3 linked regions of the Macaca mulatta genome follow. The protein of the gene in region 2 interacts with the protein of the main gene of each other region in a pairwise test. Links are inferred from orthologs where the notes say so. Each region holds a gene or a part of one and is shown on either strand. Other genes may lie near its edges.

Region 1 (3,748 bases), on a different chromosome or scaffold from region 2:
CTTGTGTCCTCTAGCCTCTTAAAGTAACAGGGACACTTAATTTTTTTTTTGGTATCTGATTATACTTACAAAGTATATGATTATCTGAAAACAAATGCGACAAAATATGACTGTAATAACACGATGAAAAGAGATAGAAAAAACATGACACTTATATTAAATGTACTTTTATGACTAAATTTGTTCTAACATAAAAGTTGTTTATCCCTGCCAATGACATCTTGTGGGGGAAAAAAAATGAGTACTCACCTGGCAAAAACAGGAATTGTTAGTCTCCTCAAACGAGAGCTTACTCTTGATATACACAGCGTTCTACCATATCAAGGGTATCAGAGAATTGCTGTAAAAACCTACCGTCTATGTCATCTGCAGGAAAGGGACATGGTAGGTATTAAGAAAAATTAAGAAGACTTCCCCCCCCCCCCCAATTCTGGGCTCCAAAAAATTGGTAGAAGAATGCAGCGCTCATTCTTTTTCACCAAAAGGCTCATTTGTCCACTTTAAGGTGAGGGGATTTGGAAAAGGACTGGCATGTGGAGAAGGAATATCGGCCAGGAATCTGGACTTTCGTTGCTAGTTCTGCCACTTCCCGATTCAGCTCTGATCGTGCAGAGCTGACCAAGCCGTGGTCCCCAGGCTCCCGACTCCAGGCTGCCCACGCTCACCGGGACAGGCCGGCTCGCTCCCCGCAGGCTGCAGTGGGAGGGCTGGACCTGGAAGGCTCCCTCAAAACAGGCCCAAAAGCAGCTCTAGGAGTAACCGGTTCACCGAACATGGGTCCAGAATGATGTCCAAGCTCTGGAAAAGTGGAACAAAGCCACCGCCGCGAAGCAGCAGGTGTTCCAAGCTGAGGGAAGACGGGGCGGCGAGAGGCAGCCTTGCGCATGCGCGTTCCATCCAGGTGCCGCAGCCTCAGGCAGGGATTCAGAAATGAGTGGTGGAAAAGGGGGCTCGCGGCTGGTTACTAGGAGACGGGACGCTCGGGTAGGGCGACTAGGCGCTGCGTGGGCGTGCGCCTGCGCGGCGCGGATGGGCCAGGAAGAGGTCCCTCCTAGGTGCCCTGTAAGGCAGGCAGGTGGACGTACGCGTCGCTCCGTGCGTAAGTGCGCGCGCACGGCTTGTAGTCCCCGCGAGAGGGAAGGTCGAGCCAGGTACGCGTGCGCACCGAGCCTGGGAGCGAGCGGGACGGAAGCAAAGCTGGGGCGCCGGGGAGGTGGAAGACGAGCCCCACTCCGGTACAGAGCGTGAGGGCGGGGCCACGGCGGCGCCGGCTGGCGCTAACCGCCCCCGCCTCCTTCCCGCGGGCTCCCTCCTTCCTCCGATTCGCTGGGGCGGGGCCGGGACGATTTGGGGGTGGGAAGGGAGGAGAAAGGGGCGGAGGATGGAGACTGGGCGGTTCTCGTATTCCCCGCGGAGGCCGAGACCTGGCAGACGCGGGGATGAGCTCTGGGCAGGACGGCGGGCCGAGGAGCCCGGGGAGGGACCCGGAGCTCCAGGTAGAAGCTGCGGAGATGCGCAGGGTGGGGAGAGCGCTGCTGCTGGGCCAGAAGGTCTCTGAGAAGGCGGCTGCAAGCGGGCGGGAGTGGCGGGTGCGGGGCCGTGGCAGGCGGAGGTGGGCGCTCGCCGCGGGAGCCGCTGTGAGGGGCTGCGGCGGGCACCGCTGCCGGCCGGAAGCTTAGCTGCACGCGTTGCCCCTGCTTCTTGGGAGGTTAGGTTTGAGCCCAGTTCCTATGGTCACCGCTTCGCGTCCTCCCGCAGCTCTCCGCTTGGTTGTTGGGGGGACTGTTCAGTTTAGAAACGCTCTGGAAGCTCTGGTGGAGCCGAGGAATTTGGAAGTCACAGATTTGGGAGTTCAACCTGACTCCCTATCGCTCATTTCTGAGCCTCTGTCTAGACTTGGGGTGGTGAAAGGCTGAGATTACATAGGCATTTGCATGAAAATCTGATAATTTTAGTAAAATTATACACGGTAAAGGCAGGGAAAGCTGGCTTTTGTTGAAAAACTATTTGAGACTTAAATTGGATAACTAGGTGATCATGGACTTGATACCTAAAAACTCACAGAAATATGTTTTTTTTTTCACTTTTTTTTCCCCCGCGACTTCAGGAAGGTTTGCATAGATTACAGTGTCCCAACGTTTTCCTTCTTCCATTCCAGGACCTTATATCCTAGGAGATTTCCTTGTTTAAAATTCTCTGTACTGGTGTTCAGCATTTCAAGTATACTTTGTTTACGTGTAAGGACATAAATAGAATAACAATAGGTTTGTAAGTAGGAAAAAAACAGGTTAGTTATAGAAGTAGGATGTCACATTCGAATTTGCTTCCAGAATAAGATTCTTGTTTGTATTTTAATTGATTAATGAGCCAAACTCTTCAGTCTTAGTGGGAAATAACTAGGAAGGTACATTAATGAAATATTAATTTTAAATCCTAAACTTTGGCATTATTTTTTTAATGGCAGCTTCCAAAATATTTCACGTATTGTTTACCTTCTGAAGAAAAATCATTGCTTGTAGCTCAGAATATAATCAGGTGTAGAGATTCTCTGGGAGATCTTTTCTGTCTGCTTTTTCAGTTGCTTAGACTAGTTTGTTTAGGACGATTTGGTTTTGAAGTCCTCCACACACACAGGCAGTTAGAAGTATTATTATTTATCTCCTTTTCAGATTACATGTTTCTTTCCGTCCCCACAGATGGCCACTCTCCTGACTTCTAAGAGCCACTTCCTTGATTTTCCTTAATGTTTCACATCACTGTATGTGAACATGCACATTACAGTTCGGCTTGTTTTTGAACTTCGTACAAATGGATTGTACTGAGTATTCATTTACATCTTGCTGCTTTAGTCAACATTTTTTTAAGATTAATCTTTATTGTTGCTCTCAGTATTTAGTTTGGTGATTGTTTCCCCAAATATTTATCCACTTATTATATAAAATCCTCTCTCAAAATTATTCATAAATCTTGTATGGTTTTCCACATCCTTCTGTTAGTGAGGCTGTTCCTTCTTACTTCAATGTCTGTAAGTTTATGCTTTTGGAGACAATATTTTTAAAAAGAAAAACCCACCTCAACTGTAGTAAACTTTTGTGGAACCAGATTTCAGAATTCCATATGAAGTAGTCCAGTATTTTCCATTCTATCAAAAAATTAAATAATTTGTTGAATACATATTATGTGCTTCATATTTTGCTCAACACTGATGATACTTTTTATTATATAATCTTCTGTTTCACTGAAAAATTAAAATTCAACTAGACAGAAACTTCCTCAGATTTCCATGCCACTTACCTTTTTTTTTGTTTTGAGACATGATCTCACTCTGTCGCCCAGGCTGGAGTGCAATGGTGCGATCATGACTCACTGCAGCCTTGACCTCCCGGACTCAAGTGATTCTCCTATCTCAGCCTCCCAAGTAGCTGGGACCACAGGTGGATGCCACTATGCCTGGATAATTTCTTTTTTCTTTTTTGTAGAGACAGGGACTCACTATGTTGTCCAGGTTGGTCTCAAATTCCTGGGCTCAAGTGATCCTCCGGCCTTGGCCTCCCAAAGTGTGGGGATTATTGGGATTACAAGTGTCTAAATCTTCACCTGTCTTTGCTTTTCTCTTTCTTGTCTCAGGGCAATACGTATTTACCTGGGTTTCCTCTTATTACCTCAGCTGTCTTTCTCCATCTATTAACATTAACTCATGCCTTAGGAATCTTCATTGTTTCTGTACTGTAGGACTTCTTCACCTGGA
Region 2 (3,648 bases):
GTAGAGACAGGGTTTCACCATGTTGGCCAGGTCTTGAACTCCTGACCTCAAGTGATCTACCTGCCTTGGCCTCCCAAAGTACTAGGATTACAGGCATGAGCCACCACACCTGGCCTGTTATTTTTTATTTTTATTTTTTCTGAATTTTTTTTATCTGCTTGGTTCAATCAGTGGATGTGTATAGCCAACTATATATTCATATATTCATAGTTTTATAGTTTTCTCTACTGTCCAACTCCATAACATTTCATCATCCCAAAAAGGATCCCCATATCCAGGAGATGATTAAAAAAAGAAAAAGAATTCCCATTATAAGTATCATTGCCCATTTCTCTCTTCCTCCAGCCCCTGGCAACCATTAATCTGCTTTCTGTCTCTGGATTGATTTGCCTGTTCTGGACATTTCATGACTTTTTCTTTTTTTTTTTTTTTTTGAGACGGAGTCTTGCTGTCTCCCAGGCTGGAGTGCAGTGGTGCGATCTTGGCGCACTGCAAGCTCCACCTCCCAAGTTCACGCCATTCTCCTGCGTCAGCCTCCCAAATAGCTGGGGACTACAGGCGCCGGCCACCATGCCCAGCTAATTTTTTGTATTTTTAGTAGAGATGGGGTTTCACCGTGTCAGCCAGGATGGTCTCGATCTCCTGACGTCGTGATCCCCCGACCTTGGCCTCCCAAAGTGCTGGGATTACAGGAGTGAGCCACTGCGCCTGGCCTTTTTTTTTTTTTTTTTTTTTTTTGATGGAGTCTCGCTCCGTGGCTCAGGCTGGAGTGCCGTGGCATGATCTTGGCTCACTGCAACTTCCACCTCCTGGGTTCCAGCAATTCTCCTGCCTCAACCTCTGAAGCAGCTGGGATTACATGTGTCCGCCACCACGCCTAGCTAATTTTTGTAGAGATGCGGTTTCACCATGTAGGCCGGGCTGGTCTTGACCTCCTGACCTCAAGTAATCTGCCTGCGCGGCCTCCCAAAGTGCTGGGATTACATGTGTGAACCACTGCGCCTGGCCAAAATAAATTTATTTATTTTATTTATTTTAGATTCAGGGGGTACATGTGCAGGTTTGTTACAAGGGTATATTGCATTTGGGCTACTAATGATCCTGTTGACCAAGCAGTGAACATAATACCCAATAGGTAGTTTTTCAGCCCTTGCCCCATAGCTGCTTTTGGAATCCCCAGTGTTTATTGTTCCCATCTTTGTGTCCATAAGTACCCAGTGTTTAGCTCCCACTTACAACTGAGAACATGTGGTGTTTGATTTTCTGTTTCTATGTTAATTTGCTTAGGATAATGGCCTCCAGCTGCATCCATGTTGCTGCAGAGGACATGATTTTATTCTTTTTTATGGCTGCACAGTATTCCATGGTGTGTATGTGCCACATTTTCCTTATCTGATCTACCACTGATGGGCACCTGGGTTGATTCCATGTCTTTGCTGTTGTGAATAGTGCTGCAGTGAACATGTGAGGGCAGGTGTCTTTTTAGTAGAGCAGTTTATTTTCCTTTGGGTAGATAGTAATGGGATTGCTGGTTCAAATGGTGACTCAGTTTTTAGTTTTAAGGTTTGTAATATTCTACCCTGTTTCTATTGTATAGCTTTTTTTTTTTTTTTTTTTTTTTTGCTATGCAGGACTATTGCAGTATCTATAGCTTTTTAGTCAGTCTCTGTGATGAATATTTACGTTGTTTCCAGTATTTAGCCATTTAAAATAATGTTGCAGTGATGAATAACCTTGTGCATAGAGTATTTCACATTTTGCCACTATAATTTTGGGATATATTCCTAGAAGTGGGATTCCAAGGTCAAAGGGCAAGTGCATCTACAGTTTTTCTAGATGTGGTCAGATTCCCCCAAAGAGGTTTTTGTATTTTGCATTCCCAGCAAAATACAATCAGCAATGAAGATTGCTGTACCATGTGTTTATCAATTGTGAATTTGTTCCTAGCATTTAGAAATTGGGAGATTCTACTTAAAAATCCTTATTTAAAAAAAAAATCAGAACCTGGCTGTGCTAGGCCTTAATCTACCTATGGCAACAGCTGGCTAGAGCTGAATAATAGCTGCCCCTTTTCTAGGTACTCTCTAGGTTACTGTGGCCTCCACTGGGCGATTTTACTTTCGCTACCTATCAGTCCCCTATAGACAGGAGTTTTTGACCTCTGCTCTAAGTATGGTTGTCTGGGTAGGTAGAATGGAGACAGAGAGTCTGGGACTTGAAGACATAGAGGACAATTTAGATTATTATGTTAGAAGAGCCACCAGTGTGAATGTTGACCCTAAAGAGGGTGGCGGGGAATATGTCAAGGGGATATTAGGAACCCAGGATTGGAATCCTTGAGGAAAGCACATATCCTAGAGGTCCATGGACGACTATCTGAAAAAGAAGGCCTATTTTTTGTGGTTGCCATGGTCCTATACCAAAGAGGTTTTGTGAAGGCAGCATTACAGTGAGTCTGGAAAGGACCAGGGGCTGGGAGCAGGGAGTGTGCTAAAGCCCTCCTGGTGTACTCTTCCTGCCTTCCCCCATATGCTGAAGTTTGAGAGGCTGGGAAGGTGGGGAATGGGAAAAGGAGCTGCTGCTTATGTTGAGTTTAACATTCTTTGGGTTTCTCCATCTAGGTCTTGAGTTCATTCTCTTCCTGTCCTTTTGGCTTCCCTGTTTTTTTTTTTTTTTTTTTTTTTTGAGACGGAGTCTCGCTCTGTTGCCCAGGCTGGAGTGCAGTGGCCGGATCTCAGCTCACTGCAAGCTCCGCCTCCCAGGTTTATGCCATTCTCCTGCCTCAGCCTCCCGAGTAGCTGGGACTACAGGCGCCCGCCACGTCGCCCGGCTAGTTTGGTTTTTTTTTTTTTTTTGTATTTTTTAGTAGAGACGGGGTTTCACCGTGTTAGCCAGGATGGTCTCGATCTCCTGACCTCGTGATCCACCTGTCTCGGCCTCCCAAAGTGCTGGGATTACAGGCTTGAGCCACCGCGCCCGGCCGTTGGCTTCCCTGTTTAACCTGGTCCCTGTTTCAGGAGAAAAGCCTCATCAGTGCCAAGTCTGTGGGAAGACCTTCTCTCAGAGTGGAAGCAGGAATGTGCATATGAGAAAGCATCACTTGCAGCTGGGAGCAGCTGGGAGTCAAGAGCAGGAGCAAACTGGTGAGGAGGGTGGGCAGAGTGGAGGGCTATACCTTCTAGGGTTCAAAGAGCCAAATCACTGTCTTGCCTGGTTATCTGGAAATTTTCTGATTCTGTTTTAGGTAGATAGACCTGGTCTCATTTGATGGGCTGATGGTTTCCAAACATAGCTGTACAGTAGAATCATCTGCAACCTTTTAAAATTTGTATACTTTTTGTTGCTTTTCCCCCCACCAATAAAACAAAGCAATCTGATAAATGAGATAATTTGCAAGATCCCAGAATCTGTAGTTTTAAAAGTTCCCCTAGTGATTTTGATGGTAACTAGTGCTGATCCATGAACTAGCATTTGAGTAACACAGTGATAAAAGATTTCTGCATGGCAAGAGTTTAAGCTTTTTTATTTTTTTAGATGGAGTCTCGCTCTGTCACCCACGCTGGAGTGCAGTGGCGCCATCTCGACTCACTGCAACTTCTGCCTCCTGGGTTCAAGCAGTTCGCCTGCCTCAGCCTCCTGAGTAGCTGG
Region 3 (3,748 bases), on a different chromosome or scaffold from region 2:
CCCACCTGCTTGGGGGTCTGAGGCAGGAGGATGGCTTGAACCCTGGAGGTCTAGGCTGTAGTGAGTTGAGATGGCACCCCTACACTCCAACCTGGGTGACAGAGCGAGACCCTGTCTCAAAAACAAAATAAAATAAAATAAAAAGTAAAGAAAAAAAAAAGGCAGCTGGGCGCGGCATCTCAGGGCTCTAATCCCAGTACTCTGAGAGGGCGGATTACCTTAGGTGAGGAATTTGAGATCTGCCTGGCCAACGAGGTGAAAACCCACCTCTACTAAAAATACAAAAATTAGCCGGGTATGGTGGCACACCCCTGTATTCCCAGCTACTCAGGAGGCTGAGGCAGGATGATTGCTTGAACCTGGGAGGCGGAGGTTACAGTGAACTGAGATCGTGCCACTGCACTCCAGCCTGGGCGACGGAGTGAGAATCTGTCTTAAATAAATAAATAAATAAATAAATAAATAAATAAATAAAATGAAAAAACCACAAAACACATTGCACCCCACTCTGAGGATTTTGCATGAATTGTTTTATTTAATCCTTAAAACAATCCTCTAAACTAGGGGCTATTTTCTCTCATGTTAAAGGAGAAAAAGACCCGAAGGGATTAAAACACTTGCCCCAGGTCACACAGCTGCTTAGGGAATGGAGCCCGGGATGTGATTCCGCACTCCCACCTCACTGCCGCCCTTAACCACAATTAAGTCCAACTGTCCAGCATTGCTTGAGTGTGGTATTGTGTTCTTATAGATACGATCCTATTTAAACTTTCTTGTCAAGAGGTATGCAAGACGATCCCCATTTAACTTTGTGTAGCTTGAAGAGGTTGATCATTTTTCCAAGGTCACGCATCGAGTGAGTGGGGAATCAGGAGTCGGAATTTGAACCTGGGCATATCTGTAGTGTAGACCACTGTCGGGGGTGGATGTGTAAGAAGCTTAATTGCCGGGTTTGGCAGGTGCATGGGTAGTTGTGAGGGGCTCGTACTTTGAGAGGCAAAAGCTCCCACTCGCCACCGTCCCCCAGAGTAAAAAGCCACCTCTTTCCACCCCTCACTCGCGCAGCTGCCCGGGCATGCGCCCAGAAGCCCCTCCTTCAGAATCCGCCCTTTACAGGCTCCGCCCATCACCGTAGAGGGCCAATCCCTGGGGCGGAGGGCGGGGCAGCCACGAGAGTGGGCGGTCGCTAAGGGTAGTTAGGAGTCTGGAGTCGTGAGCCGAAGTCAGAACTGCGTCTCGCGACCCAGGCGCCGGTTGCTGGAGGAGAGCGAGCAAGCGATGCTGCCGCTGCCGTTTCCTGATTGGTTGTGGGTGGCTACCTCTTCGTTCTGATTGGCCGCTAGTGAGCAGGGTATGTAAATGAAGGGGCCTGGGAAGAAAAGGGGTACCAGCGGCCGGGTCCTTCACGGAGTTCGATCCCTGGGTCCGACAGGTGCCCGCCGGGGCTGCCCGGGATCGAGACGCGCGGGCCTCTACGTGCTGTCTGCCCCGGCCGGGCCGGGTGAATCACGCCGCAGTCCGAGAAGGGGGCGGAGGCGCCGGCTCCTTGGCTCCGGCTGCGTGACTCACCCGCCCCCGCCGCCGCCGCTTCGGGAGGAGCCGCCTCCACTGCCGGAAGCGAGCGGAGGCCGGGCGCAGAGAACAGCCCGCCTAGGGTCCTGGCTCTCACGGCGCCGGGAGGCCTGCAGGAATCACAGCCGGGCAGTAGAAGGGGTTCTGGGGTCAGAGGGGCCAGAATCCCCAGGGGAAAGCCGGCCTGGGCACCGCCAGGGGGCGCCGGGACTCGGGGGCGGAGTCGGGGGTGGGGGCGGAATTCCTGCGGTTCCGGACTCCACGGACTGCGGGGAAGGGGACGAAGACCCAGTTTTGAGTAGTGTGGTGGGCCACTCTTAAAATCTTGCTAGGCAGGGTCCCGGAACTGGACTCTAAAGTCTTCCTGGCCCAAAAAAGTAGGTAGCGCCAGGGGTCCAAAACTCCATCCAGCCCTACCCCCGCCACTCCAAGAAAAGAGTGGACCCTCAAACTTATCTCAGTGACTGACCCCGGTGCCGATCACGATTTCTCGACAAGCCCTGTCTATTCTGCCTCCCAAAGAAATCCTGACTCGACCGACTTCCTTCCATACCCACTACCAGCTCCTGCTCCAGGCCATCACTATCGTCAGTCCCAAACCAGTACAGCCTACTAGTGGGTCTCAGATCCCCCCTCTTTTTGCCCCCTACAGTATTCCTCGAAGCAGCCATGGGGGGGATCTTCCGGAAACCTAATCAGCTCACACCCCCATTCCCTCCGTGCTCAAATTCCTTTAATGACTGCCCACCACACTCAGGATAAAATCCAAACTCCCTACTAATGCATATGTGGTTTTCTGTGACCTGGCTTGTGCCCATTCCCCCAGCCTCTGGGCTTTTCTTTGCCTTTTTTTGTTGTTCCCTCCTCCCGGAATGCTTTTCCCAGGGTCTCCCATGGCCGACTTCTCTGGCCTGAGGGCTCCATTCAAATGTCACCTCCTTACAGGAGCCTTCTCTGATCATCTAAAAGGTCTCCAGGACCTTTTAGTGTCTTCCTGTAATTCTCCGTACATTTCCTGTGTTTGCTTATTTATTTACTGTTTGAAACGTCATAGTAGACAATAAGTGTTAAACTATGTGAAACTAGTTTAGTATTTATAATATAACTTACTTAGATATAATTATTTATAACGTTATTATAATATATGAAACAGCTGCTTTTGTAGGGGAAAAAGTTGAATGGTCATTCCACATGGTTCACTGAAGAAATAATAATGTTATCATTAAGTGTACTTATTGGCAGGGCATGGCAGCTCACACTTATAATCCCAGTACTTTGGGAGGCTGAGGCGGGAGGATGGCTTAAGGCAAAGAGTTTGAGACCACCCTGGGTAACATAGTAAGACTTTGTCTCTACAAAAAATAAAAGGGGGGAAAAAAAGAGTGTTTATTGATTGAGGGGGGAGGATCACTTCAGGCCAGGGGGTTTGAGACCAGCCTGGGCAATATAGTGAGACCCCATCTCTTTTTTCAGATTAAAAAGTCTATAAATATACTTAAATACAAAATTTAAAATTTAAGGCCGGGCGCGGTGGCTCATGCCTGTAATCCCAGCACTTTGTGAGGCCGAGATGGGTGGATCATGAGGTCAGGAGATCGAGACCATCCTGGCTAACATGGTGAAACCCCATCTTTACTAAAAATACAAAAATTAGCCGGGCGTGGTGGCGGGCGCCTGTAGTCCCAGCTATGTGGGAGGCTGAGGCAGGAGAATGGGGTGAACCCCGGAGGCGGAGCGTGCAGTGAGCCGAGATCGAGCCACTGCACTCCAGCCTGGGCAACAGAGAGAGAGACTGTCTCAAAAAAAAAAAAAAATTTCTTTTAAAGTCTATAGGCTGGGTGTGGTGGCTCACACCTGTAATCCCAGCACTTTGGGAACCAGAGGTGGGCGGATTACTTAAGGTCCAGGAGGTCGAGACCAGGCTGGCCAACATGGTAAAACCCCGCCCCTACTAAAAATATAAAAATTAGCCAGATATGGTGGCGTGCGCCTGCAATCCTAGCTTTTGGGGAGGCTGAGGCACGAGAAACACTTGAACCCGTGAGGCAGAGGTTGCAATGAGCTGAGATCACGGCATTGCACTCCAGCCTGAGCAACAGAGCGAGACTCTATCTCAAAATAATAATAATAATTTATAAATATACATATGCAATTAAATAAAAATTATCTATATCTT

Evidence for each region.
Region 1: the proteins of ZNF410 (region 2) and TSGA10 interact in binary tests that used the Homo sapiens proteins (3 or more experiments, as listed by UniProt). The two-hybrid records come from large-scale screens. The link is inferred for Macaca mulatta from reciprocal best matches to the Homo sapiens genes ZNF410 and TSGA10.
Region 3: the proteins of ZNF410 (region 2) and SERTAD1 interact in binary tests that used the Homo sapiens proteins (3 or more experiments, as listed by UniProt). The two-hybrid records come from large-scale screens. The link is inferred for Macaca mulatta from reciprocal best matches to the Homo sapiens genes ZNF410 and SERTAD1.

The regions. Positions count from the first base shown.
Region 1 is NC_133418.1:7,269,015-7,272,762, reverse strand, and holds the start of TSGA10 (testis-specific gene 10 protein), read left to right. Parts: upstream 1-1,401; 5' UTR 1,402-1,439; coding exon 1,440-1,550; intron 1,551-3,748. UniProt on the Homo sapiens protein: Plays a role in spermatogenesis. When overexpressed, prevents nuclear localization of HIF1A.
Region 2 is NC_133412.1:147,098,550-147,102,197, forward strand, and holds part of ZNF410 (zinc finger protein 410), read left to right. Parts: intron 1-2,621; exon of another isoform or gene 2,622-3,017; coding exon 3,018-3,143; intron 3,144-3,648. UniProt on the Homo sapiens protein: Transcription factor that binds to the sequence motif 5'-CATCCCATAATA-3', and is specifically required to silence expression of fetal hemoglobin in adult erythroid cells.
Region 3 is NC_133424.1:51,532,409-51,536,156, reverse strand, and holds the start of SERTAD1 (SERTA domain-containing protein 1), read left to right. Parts: upstream 1-1,237; 5' UTR 1,238-1,351; intron 1,352-3,748. UniProt on the Homo sapiens protein: Acts at E2F-responsive promoters as coregulator to integrate signals provided by PHD- and/or bromodomain-containing transcription factors. Stimulates E2F1/TFDP1 transcriptional activity.